Notamacropus eugenii: one gene and its partners. The protein of the gene in region 1 interacts with the protein of each later gene in a pairwise test. Links are inferred from orthologs where the notes say so. Each region holds a gene or a part of one and is shown on either strand. Other genes may lie near its edges.

Region 1 (3,746 bases):
TCTTGACTGTGCTATTAACGAACCTCCCCACTCCCTGTCATCCTTCTAGCCCCTGCTTCATCACCATCACCTTTAATCTTCATTTCTTCTTCTGTCATCTTCCTAAGTCTGTTTGCTATCTTAGCTCCAAATTTTCCAATAAAGCACCACCAGCCCCTAGGTCCTTCCTGATCTCTAGCACGAGTTCAAGATCCCTTGGTCTCACTTTCAAGACACTCTTGGTACCTACTAGTATTCAAAGAATCCTTTGGAAGTAGGGGGAGGGAGTGGGCAAGAAAAGTCTTTTGGATCAGGATAGGGTCTCCCAGACCACCCTAGCCCTATATTCCCAGAAGCGCCCCCAGACTCAAGCCCCATAGAGTCCCTTAGCTGGCTTCCCTAGAGCACACGTCAATATATCTCTTCATCCACTTCCACTACTCCATCTTCCATCCACTCCTCATTTTCCTCTTTGGCTTCTTTCCTACAAATTGTGTCCATCAACAATGGGGACATGTCACCCTGGAAGTCCAGTTGGTGTTTCAAAGCCTTCCCCTTCCCCAAACTTCCCTCTTTCTGTTGAGGATTCTACCATTCCTCTACACCCCCAGTGTGGTTAGCTCACATTCAGCCTCCATCTTCCCTCTTCCTTTTAGGACATATCCAGTCAATTCCACCTCTAAATCTCCCACAACAGTCCCCCCCCTTTTTTTAAAATCCCGCTCAAAAGGCCCTCATCATCTTTGTCTCCCACTTTCCTAGTCATCCCATGCAGGTGCTAAAATCATGTTCCCCAAAACACAAATCCAATCAATGATGACAAACCTTCATGAGCCTTCCCTTCCCATGCAGGTGCTAAAATCATGTTCCCCAAAACACAAATCCAATCAATGATGACAAACCTTCATGAGCCTTCCCTTGCCATTAGAATAAAAGACAAACTCCTCATCTTGACTTTAATGCTACCCTCCTTCTTGTCTACTACATACCAACCAAGCTGGCCTACGAGCTCCATTTCCTACCTCTGGGCTTTTGTCCAAATTATCCCCATCTCTAAGATGCCCTCCTCCCTCTTCTCTTTTAAAACTCTTCTCTCCTTTCAGAGTAAGTTCTTCCAGTAAAGCCTTCCTGAATCCCTCCTCAAGAACCCTCCAACATATCCATGAACTAACTGATTCACTTGGCTCCTCCACTAATGCAAATCTCAATCCATTCATGCTTTCCCATGAATTCATCCTACTGGATCCCATCTAACCTGCTGAAGACCTTCCTCAATTTCTCAAGTGACCTCACATATTTAGGCATCTGTACCATTTACTGTCTGCCGTTCTATAGAGCAGAACAGAAGCCCCTTGAGGACAGGGGCAGGCTCCTTTTTTCTTTGTTTTCCTAGTATCAGGCAGACAGTAGGCACCTAATCAATGTTTGGTGAATTCAATGTCTATGTGGCCAAATTAGTCAAACTCCACTGAAGGTCCTGACCCTGCTGTCTTCTCCCAGGTGCCCTCTTTGCTGGCTCCTCTTGCTGCCTGGGTCAAGAGAACTGGAGGGGTAAGAAATGGAGACCTCCTGGGCCAGGGCAGGACCGTAATACTGGGAGCTGACATCTGCAGATCCGGCCAAGCACTTTACATGTATTATCATCTCCAGTGATTCTCTCTGTTCGAAGGGATGGGCCAGCCTGGAAGAAGAAGCTGGCTGGACGGTGAATGACCCCCTCCCCATAATTCGAGGTCTTCCCTTCCACAAAGCAGGACCCGGGTGGAGAAAGGAGAGAACCAGACTTGGGGACGGGGGGAGCGGAGGAGGCAGCCTATCAGGCCACCCCCACGGGGCCTCCTAGCCTAGCCCCCAGTCCCTTCTCCTGCCAGATTGAGTGGGAGCCCCTCCCCCATTCCCAGGGGAGCTGGGGGGGAGGGGGAGGAGGGAAAGGGGGGCCTCTCCAGGCCAGCTGCTACAAAACCTTCCGGCTGCAGCAACATTCGCTCCAACATTCCATCCCCTCTTAAAGGGAAAGTCTCTCTTCTAAATCCCCCCCCACCCCATGCTGGGCATTGGGGCTGGCTTAGAGCAAGAGTGTAGGCCCCGAAGGGGAAAGGGGGAGAGCCCCGGCCGGGCCTCCCGGAGAAAAGAGATCCTCCTCGCCGGTGGCTCCCGCCCCTTAGGGCTCCGAGCAGCCTGGAGAGGAGGAGCCCCCGAGACCCGCGGACCTGACCCTGGGACCCCAAAGAGCCGCCACTTTGGGGGTGCGGTGGCGGCGGCACCGCCCACCAGCCCGAAGTTTTGCTCCTGGCAGCCAGCTGGCACGGGTGCCCGGTGGGCACCGCCCCCCCCACCCCCCGGGCCAGGCCTGGGCGGAGGCCCCTCGGCGCTGTCCTGCCCCCGGGCTCCCCGCTCGGCGCCCACGCTCACCCGAAGTCGTCGTCCATAGACTTGAAGAAGAACTTGTAGGTGGGCCGCTGCAGGACGCCCTTGAAGTCGGCCAGGGTGACGCGCTCGGCGGGCAGGGGCAGCTTCACCAGGTACGGCGTCTCCTGGCCGTCCAGGTGGTAGATGATCTTGGTCTCCCCCATGGTCCCGGCGCCCTGGCCTCGGACCCGGCCGGAGCGCTGGGCTCCGATGCCTGCGCGGCGCTGCGCTCGGCGGCTCGCTCTCCGGGCCGCGGCGGCAGCGGCTCCCTTGTTCTGCGGCCGCCCCCGGGTCCCAGCGCCGCCCGGCCGCCTCCCCGCCTCCCCCCTCTCCAGCTTCCGCTCTCCCAATCTCCCTGGCTTTGGTGCCTCTTCCGGCAGCCCTCCTCCTCAGCAGCCCCGCCCCGGGATTCTCCGGTCACTGTCCCTCCGCTGCGCCCCGACCCCACGACTCGGCTTCCCAGCTCTTTAAAGGCGAGGGGAGTGGCCCTCCACGGCCCTGGCCGCTCTCCGAGTCTTTGTGAGCCCCACGGAGGCTTCGGGGTGGCCCCGGGTGTAGGGGAGAACCCGGGGATGGACTTAGAACCCGACGGACCGGGATGGGCCCTTCCGCCGCGAGTCCAGCCGCAATCACAGCTCCTCAGGGGCATGGCAACTGCCTCCGAATCCAAGGCCAGGGGTTCTGTTCCCACCTCCGATCTCAAGGTGGGGGGCCTTCCAGGGCAAGCTCGGAGCAGCCCGGTCATGGGCCAGGAGCGCTGCCGCCCAGCTCTTTACAAGGGGGGAACTGGCTAAGGGAGGTCTATCAGGAGGTGAAGACTTGGTTTCCTAGTCAACATAACTAAGCCTTGTCCTCCACTCGAGGTACAAATCCTCATCTTACAGATGAGAAAAGAGATGCTCAGAAAAAGTACCAGTGGCCATCTGACCAGCAGGCAGTCAGGTCTTCCATCCGGTGTTTGATAAGAATCAGGCCAGCAGGGGCATTCTGCCAGGAAAGAGGCCATAGCCAACTTCTCCATCTCCTCCACCAATGTTACAATTCCTTAAAGCCTTAACAGTTGGCCAGTGTGGGTCCAACCACTTGTCCCAGCTGCTTTCCTGAGGTATTCAGCACCATCTTGTGTCTCAAGAAATTATTGCCTTATGAACTCTGTGAAAGCGAACTTGATTCCAAGGTCCTCCTTGGACTTTTGCAAATTTTCCTGGCTTAGTCCTGTTCCTGCTGTCCCCTCCCCCGAACTCAGAGGCTTCCTCAGTGGGCAGCCCTCCCTCTCTGAACCTTTAACAATCATCAATCCCCTTCCTCTGCCATTTACTTGCTGCTAAATGGCCCTGCTGGTCATTTGTGCTCCTGTC
Region 2 (3,746 bases), about 290 Mb from region 1:
AGTGGAGGAAAAAAGAGGTTAATTTGCCCAGGTTCCTAGAGTTAGCGTCTGAACTCAGGCCTTTTCTGATTCCAGGTCCAGGGCTCTACACACAGTTAAACAAAATGGATTCCTCCGCTAACTAGGCCCAGAAATATATGTCTCATTCTGTATCTTGACTTCATCACCTTTCAGTCAGGAAGCAGTTAGCATACGGTCTTCTGGTCCTGTGGAATCCTGGTTGGTTCTTTGCACTGATCAGGGTTCTTAAGTCTTTCAAAGCTGACTTTACAATGCTGTTATATTGTCCGCTTACTTCATTCTGCGTCAGTTCGTATAAGTTGTATCAAGTTTCTTTGAAACTAACCCTTTGTTAATTTCATACGATACAGTAGTGATCTGTTACACTCCTGTATCATAAGGTTTTTTCCTTCCCTGATTTAATGGACACTTGCCTGAGTTTCCAGTTCTTTGGCACTCCAAAGGAAACCCCTACATTTTTGTGCACATAGGTTCTTTTCTTTTTCTTTTTGATGTCTTTGGGGGTATAGACTCAGTAGTGTTATTGCATGCACAGTTTAGTGATTTGGGGGGTATTGTTTCAATTTGCTTTGGAATGGCTGCATCAATTCACAACTCCACCAATAGTACATTAATGTACTTTATTCCCCTCCTCCCAAGCCCCTCCACCATAGCCGATTTTGCCGGTCTTTGTGAAATGATTCTTAGGCTTGCTTTAATTTGAATTTCTCTAAGTACTAATGATTTGGAGTATTGTTTCATGTGGATTTTGATAGCTTGGATTTCTTCCTTTGAGAATTTGCTTTTGATCATTTATCAATAGGAAATGATTCGTTCTTATAAATTTAGATTCCTTTGTAAACGATAGGTTTTCAATACAGCTTATTTTAGAAACGTCACATTTTTTATAGTCAAGTTATAAAAGGGTTAAATAAAGGGTGAATGGGGGTGGGGTGGGTGGAAATAAGAGGGCTTCCTTCCTGCCTCCATTAAATTAATAAACCCAGGGGGCAAACTCTGCCCACCGTAAGGATGAGAGGAACTTGAACTTCAACGGCAAATTGTTTAAAGGTTTTTTTTTTCCCCAAACAAAGATGGCTGACTATACAAACCAAGCAAACCTTCTCCTAACCAATCAAAGATGGCTACCATATCTGATACCATTTGATGGAATTTTTGCCCAAGTCCAAGATGGCGGGAGCCGCCCTCAACCGCCAAAGGGACGGTCGCGGGCCGCGGTTTGGGTCAACAGTGTCACATGACATATTCCTAGCCGGAAGTTGAGGGAAAGGCGCCGCTGGCTGAAGCGCCTGCGCATTAGGGTAAAGACGCTGGGAGGCAGGAGGGGACTTAGGCTCGTCCTCAAGAGTTGGGACCGTTAAAAAGGCCGCCACGGAGCCCGCCGGAGCTAACGCTGCTGCTGCTGCTGCCCGGGTCGGAACCGCCGGGCCGCAGCCGGCGGTGATGCCGCGAAGGAAGGTGAGAGAAAACTGGGTACTTGGCGGGCTCTTGAGGACAGCTTGGTGCGCTGCATGAACTCTGGTCCCGCCCCGTAGCGGCAGCATCCCCTCCTTCTGCACTGCACAGTCCAGCTGTGGAGCTACTTTCTCTGCCCGAGTCCGGCAGGAAAATGCGGGCAAGATACGGGCCTCGGCCTTGGCTTGCACTATTCCCGTTTTCTGGTTGGTTAGAACGGGGGCCTTTTCTGAATTTCAATTGGTCACTCGGATGCGGAGAGCCGCATTCATTGGCTGACCACGCCGCCCGTCTGGGCCCAACGGTCACCTCCCCGCGTGCGGGGGTGGCTGCCGGTCCGGCCCTAGTAGGCCCCGACTGGCTGGTGGCAGCGATTCCTCTTCCACTGATTGGTTGATTCCGGCAGTCTGTCTCGCGGGGCCACGCCCCTTGATTAGCTGCGTGGGGTTGCCTATTGGCTGGGAGGACTTCCTTTCCTCTCTTCCGCTTTGGCGATTGGTGGGGGGCGGGGCTTATTGAGCCTTCATCCTTTCCCAGGTGGAAGACATAACAAAGCGACTGGGTTCTAGGTTGGGGTGAGAATCTGCCCCCCAGGAGAGTGCCCCGCCCTCCCCAGGATGTGGATGCCAAGACTCTTGGCAGCAGCCTAGGCGGGAGTGCTTATTACAGTATTGGGGGTGGGGGAGCAAAACTCCCAAACTCCAGGTTACCTCTTTCTTGGAAAATTGACTAGTAGAGTTAAAGTTTTAGCTCAACGCGTTCATCGTCCTGGTCATCATCACCATCACCATCCTTATCATCATCATTGCTAGCATTTATCTAATTATTTAAGCCTTGTGAAGTACTTTACGACTATCTCATTGGATTCTTACTATAACCCTGGGAGATAGACGCTATTATTCCCATTTGACAGATGAGGAATCTGAGGCAGATAAAGGTAGAAAGACTTGTTCAGGGTCGTACAGCTAGGTTGCGACTGGATTTGAATTCAGTTTTTCCTGACTTCAGGCCCAGCACTCTTACCACTGCACTTTACCACCCAATTTTATTCTACACGTGAAAAGCTGAGTGCCAGAGAGACTAATTTGACTGAAGTCACACATTAGGTACTTCCTGACCCAAAACTGCCTCACTTAACCTCTGGATGTGTTGCCCTGAAAGCATTCTAGGCAGGTGATGGATTCTGCAATTTTTCTTTACGAAATTTTTTACAAGTATATTTGAGTTTAAAAATACTACCATCTTAGAGTTTGAAGGGAAATTTGAGGTGGTTGTCAGCCTTATAGATCATCAAATTTTTGAGTGTCCTTTGATTTGGTGGCAAGTTGGAAAAAGATCGATAGCTTCTTAGGTATTTAATTGTTGAGATCATTGATCCATGTGAGTGCGTGTCTGGTGTGGAGGCAAATATGGTGTTAGTTCTCTTAGTAAAATAGCAATCTATCTTGAAGAGCCTTTTGCTCATGAAGATATTTAGAAAATGCTAATTAAGGGAGGTGAAAAAGGTGCTTTGAGCACCTTTTAACCTTTATGTGGTGAAGCTTCAAGGGGAGAGAGTATGGGGAGGGCAAAGGAATTTCCCTATTTAATTTGGCTTGCGTTCTTTCCCTTGAAATGCTCTTCTACAGAGCATGGGCTCTCATATATTTGAGTTAATGTCTGTTTCCTTTCAAATGTGACAGATGTTTAGAGAGAGTGAGAGATTCCATCATGACACTGTAACATTGGGACTTAAACAAAAGCTGTTTTTAGAGGCACAAGGGAAAGAACCTGGCACTAATTCCTCTTCTCAAACCTGACCCTGTGAGTTCTTGGTCACATCAATCCAGCCTTTTGAAGTTGGTAGTTTTTATTTTCAGAATGTGAAACTGATGGTAAAGTTGCTCAGATCTTCCCAGGGATTTCTTAAAACAGAGTCAGTGATACTGCAATCACAATTTATTTACCTTAGGACTAAATAAAGGACCATGTATTGTTTAAATGAAATATACTAATTTCAGGGAAGTTGACTGTGGGCTGATAAGAGTATTGCTCATAACCTGAGCTTTGATTTTTATATACTTAAAGTAACTATAATATCACATACTGTTTTACTTCTGTTATTAATGCAAATTTAAAGAATAAATGCTCCCTTGCTAATGTCTGGATCTGTGATATTACAGAGGAATGCAGGCAGTAGTTCTGATGGAACCGAAGATTCCGATTTCTCTACAGACATTGAGCATACAGATAGTTCGGAAAGTGATGGGACATCCCGGCGATCTGCTCGA
Region 3 (3,746 bases), about 240 Mb from region 1:
GTGAGCATCTGAATCCTTGTCTCTGGATTGCTAGCATTTGGAAGTGGAGGAGATACAAATAAGCTCTCTTAACACCTTAGTTGGGCCTTAGAGACATGGGTCACACTCCCAGATATCGAACACACACACACACACACACACACACACACACACACACACACGGCCTTGTCTGACTTTAAACAGTAAAATGCCACCAGATCTCCCCTCCAGGAAAGAAGACTTCCCTGATTTCAGGGTATGTTAGAGTTGACTATCTTCCTGCAGCATAATCTCCTTTCTTTAGTTTCTCAATTCCCTCCGCATCCTTCCTCACCCTCCAACACCCCCCCACCCCACGCAGCCACTGTCACCCATACCTAAGGACCAAGGCAGAAAGGTAGTCCCTTCCCAATTATCACGTACCTAGCTAGTCAAATCACATTATGAACTCAACTCCATGCTGTTCTGAGACACACACACACACACAGAGAGAAAGAGAGCGAGAGAGCGAGAGAGCGAGAGAGAGAGAGAGAGAGAGAGAGAGAGAGAGAGAGAGAGAGAGAGAGAGAGAGAGAGATCATCAGCACCTTGGACAGAGGTGGGGCCCCAATGGGATGAGGACCAAGAAACCTTAAAAGCTAGATGAAGCCTTTTTCTCTGGTCCTTGCAACCCAACTATTTCCCCCTAGGATGGGACTGCATAGCCAGCTGGGAAATGGGGGACTCTGATGGGGGGGGGGTGGGGGAAAGTCAGAGGAGAGCTACATTTCAAAAGGGTCTGCCTGGGGTGGGGGGTGGGGTGGGGGATGAAGGGGTTCACAGATGGCGCGTGCTGTTGTTACCGCCAAAAGCCCTCGCCGAGAATCTCAAAGCTCCGGAACGTGAGTCACAGCCCGAGCCACTTCCAATTAGTGTGTTAATTAGAAGTAAAGACCCTCCTCCCACAACCAGCCCGGGAACAAGCCAACCCGTGGCTTCCGGAGGCTACCGCCAAAGAATGACTTTCAACCGCTAAGAAAGGAAGTGAAGACCATGGCTAAAATGCCAGGCACAGGACCTCGCTTCCACTCCGAGAAAATGGATCGTACTCTGTTGAAGAAGAGATTCGCACCGTCTCATCCATGCCCCTGTCTCTGAACAAAGTAGCTCCTCCCCTAACCCACACCGTCAGGCAGCCGCAGAGTAGATCTCTCCAGAGCTGAGAGATTTATCTCCAGAAAGAGGGGAAGGGGTTAGATGGATGGAAACGTCCTAGATTCGTTCAACTGGTGCTTAATCTCTCACTTCACTGTGTGGGGAAGTTCTTCGTTTTGTCTAACCTCAAGCCCTACCGTAATATTTTCGGTCTGTTTCCATCTTTATGGTGAAGCTTCCCGAAGATACGTGGGAAATGAGGTGCGATTCGATCCTGAGGGAGGGGGACGGACTTGAAAAAGGACGACCCGGTGAAGTGTCGTCTCTTCCCGCCCCCCCCCCCCCCCCCGGCCCATTTCTCCTGAAACTTTTCCCTCTCGTTGCCATGGAGAGAGACAGCCGATGCCTTCTGTCGCCATGGCAACGAGTGGGTGACGCGACCAGCGGATTGCGGGGTTCTAAAAGCCCCTGAACCCCAGTCCCTCTCCTCGCTCCACAGTCCTGGGGTGAGGATAGATTTCCCTCTTATTAAAAAAAAATACTGCAAGTTTAACCAACTTCCTTCGCCCAGCGGCCCGAACCCCTCCCTCAATTCTGTTCTTTTTGAGACCTGGGAGCCTTGGGTTCCTAAGATATGCCCTTAGGATCCTACTAGTCCTGGACTTAATCACCCTTTATTTTTTTTACTTCTTTAGCCTCCAAGGCATCAATCAGTCTCTCCCTCTTTCCAACCCACTCCCCAATGACACAGTACTCCGACCAGGACCAGACCAGACACTGAAACGTAAAGAGGGTGCTGACGAGCGGGAACTGAATTTCTCTGTGGTGTCTGTATCTCACTAAGGGGCGGAGACCCCGTAGACAAGTGGTTAAAAGCCTAGACTGGCAAATGCAAGTGCGGTGACTCGCCTGGGGCTGTTTGGGGGAGGGTCTTCTTGCGGACCCGCCCTGTCCCGCCCCAGCCCGACAGCAGCTGGGGACCTGGAACGGCTGCAGGGAGCTGGGCGGGACGGGACTAAAGCCACAGTGCACTGAACAGGGAAGGGGGGAGGGTCCGGGGCATGAGCAGGGTGGGGGGGTCCGAGGAGGCGAGGTGCCAGGCGGCGCTGGGAATCCTGGCCTCGCTATGTCAGGGGCAGCCGCCCCCCCAGGGTCTGGACTTGGAGACTTGTCGGAGTTTCGAGCTGCAGCCCCCTGAGCGGAGTCCGAGTTCTGCAGATACAGGTAACTGGGCGATCCTTCGCCCTCCCCTACTTTCCCTGCCACAACCCCTCTTCCTAATGCGGAGATTCTTTTTCTCATACCTTCCCTCCCCTAAGAGCAAAGATTAGATTGAAGAGGAAGGAGCAGACATTTCTTTCCATCCATTCCCTTAGTGCCATGCTCTGGATTCGGATCTTGCCAGTGTCAGAAAAAAGGGTGCTGAGGAGTGGGGCTGGTGGGAGGGGGGGTGTTGTTTTTTTCCCCTCAGAGTGCGACTCGGAAAGCTCCTAGTGTAGAGCTAGACTCTTCGGTTTAGTTCGGGGACCCTCTGCAACTCGGGAACAGCGCTCCAATGTGCCTCAGTTTCTTCTCTCTGAAGGATGGGGAGATTCTGTTCCCACAAAGAGAAGGCAAAATACCCAGGGAAAGGTCAGAAGAAGAGATGACAGACCTCCCCAGCTGCAGAGAGCTTTGTGTCTCTGTCTCTGTTTCTACATCTCTGTCTCCCGGGAGGTGCAACTGCCCCCACCCCCACCCCGGACGGTAGCTAGAAACTTGCGTTGACTCTGTGCCTCCATCGCGGGTTTTGGTGTACCAGTGCCTTTTTCTGGCTCGGTCTATTTCTCCGTCCCCGCGGGGGGGTGGGGGGGGCGGGGGAAAAGGAGGGGGAAGGGTGTCTCCGCGTCCCCGTCCCACCCCCTACCACCACCACCTCTATAACTCGCTCGCGCTCTCTCCGTGACTCACTCGGACTCGGGGCCGGTGCGGGGACTGAGCCGGTTCCTCTCTGACTTTCGGAACCCGGCGCCTTAGTTCCAGTAGCCCCCAGGATCCGACACCCAGAGCCGGCCCCAGAGAGGCTGCGGAGCCAAAGCGGGAACCCGAGCCGGGTGAGTCCCGAGCCCGGAGCCCCTACGCTGGGGCCCGGCGGCGGCCGCAGTGGCTCGGCGGAGTCGCGACAGTGGGCTATGGGCAAGCTAGTCACCGTGGGGGACTTTGTGGTGCCAGAGCCTGGAGGGGGAAGTACTGGGTCTAGAGTAGGAGGGGGCGTTTACCTGGGTTTCTGAGGACCTGATGAGCTTCCTGCAGTACCCCCCCCCCCCCATCTCGCAGCCCTTGGTCTGCAGATGTTGATTCTTTGTCCAGATTCCAACATCTGGTGGGGTGGCAGCACAGCGGGATATAAGACTTAAGGTGGGGGTACTCGAAGGGAGCGAGGAGATTCGAGGTCGGCCCTTCCACACCTGCGAGTAGCCGAGATTCTCAGTGGGGAACTGGGGTTGGCTCGGAGGGGGTGTCGGGAAATTCTACAGAGATGAAAGGAAGACTGGGGGTCTATCTCAGCTCCCTAAGCCCCACTTCCCTCTCCTAAGTCCCTGGAGGAATGGGGGTCATTGTAGAGCAATGGGGGAAAGCTCTCAAGGCCTCAC

Evidence for each region.
Region 2: the proteins of DVL3 (region 1) and KAT7 interact in a two-hybrid assay, tested with the Homo sapiens proteins (2 studies listed by BioGRID and IntAct). The two-hybrid records come from large-scale screens. The link is inferred for Notamacropus eugenii from reciprocal best matches to the Homo sapiens genes DVL3 and KAT7.
Region 3: the proteins of DVL3 (region 1) and SYT6 interact in binary tests that used the Homo sapiens proteins (3 or more experiments, as listed by UniProt). The two-hybrid records come from large-scale screens. The link is inferred for Notamacropus eugenii from reciprocal best matches to the Homo sapiens genes DVL3 and SYT6.

What each region holds. Positions count from the first base shown.
Region 1 is NC_092873.1:57,206,068-57,209,813, forward strand, and holds the start of DVL3 (segment polarity protein dishevelled homolog DVL-3), read right to left. Parts: upstream 2,696-3,746; 5' UTR 2,553-2,695; coding exon 2,392-2,552; intron 1-2,391. UniProt on the Homo sapiens protein: Involved in the signal transduction pathway mediated by multiple Wnt genes.
Region 2 is NC_092873.1:350,925,561-350,929,306, reverse strand, and holds the start of KAT7 (histone acetyltransferase KAT7), read left to right. Parts: upstream 1-1,266; 5' UTR 1,267-1,464; coding exon 1,465-1,479; intron 1,480-3,638; coding exon 3,639-3,746. UniProt on the Homo sapiens protein: Catalytic subunit of histone acetyltransferase HBO1 complexes, which specifically mediate acetylation of histone H3 at 'Lys-14' (H3K14ac), thereby regulating various processes, such as gene transcription, protein ubiquitination, immune regulation, stem cell pluripotent and self-renewal maintenance and embryonic development.
Region 3 is NC_092873.1:293,290,299-293,294,044, reverse strand, and holds the start of SYT6 (synaptotagmin-6), read left to right. Parts: upstream 1-794; 5' UTR 795-1,374; intron 1,375-1,541; exon of another isoform or gene 1,542-1,619; intron 1,620-1,808; 5' UTR 1,809-2,174; coding exon 2,175-2,337; intron 2,338-3,024; exon of another isoform or gene 3,025-3,206; intron 3,207-3,746.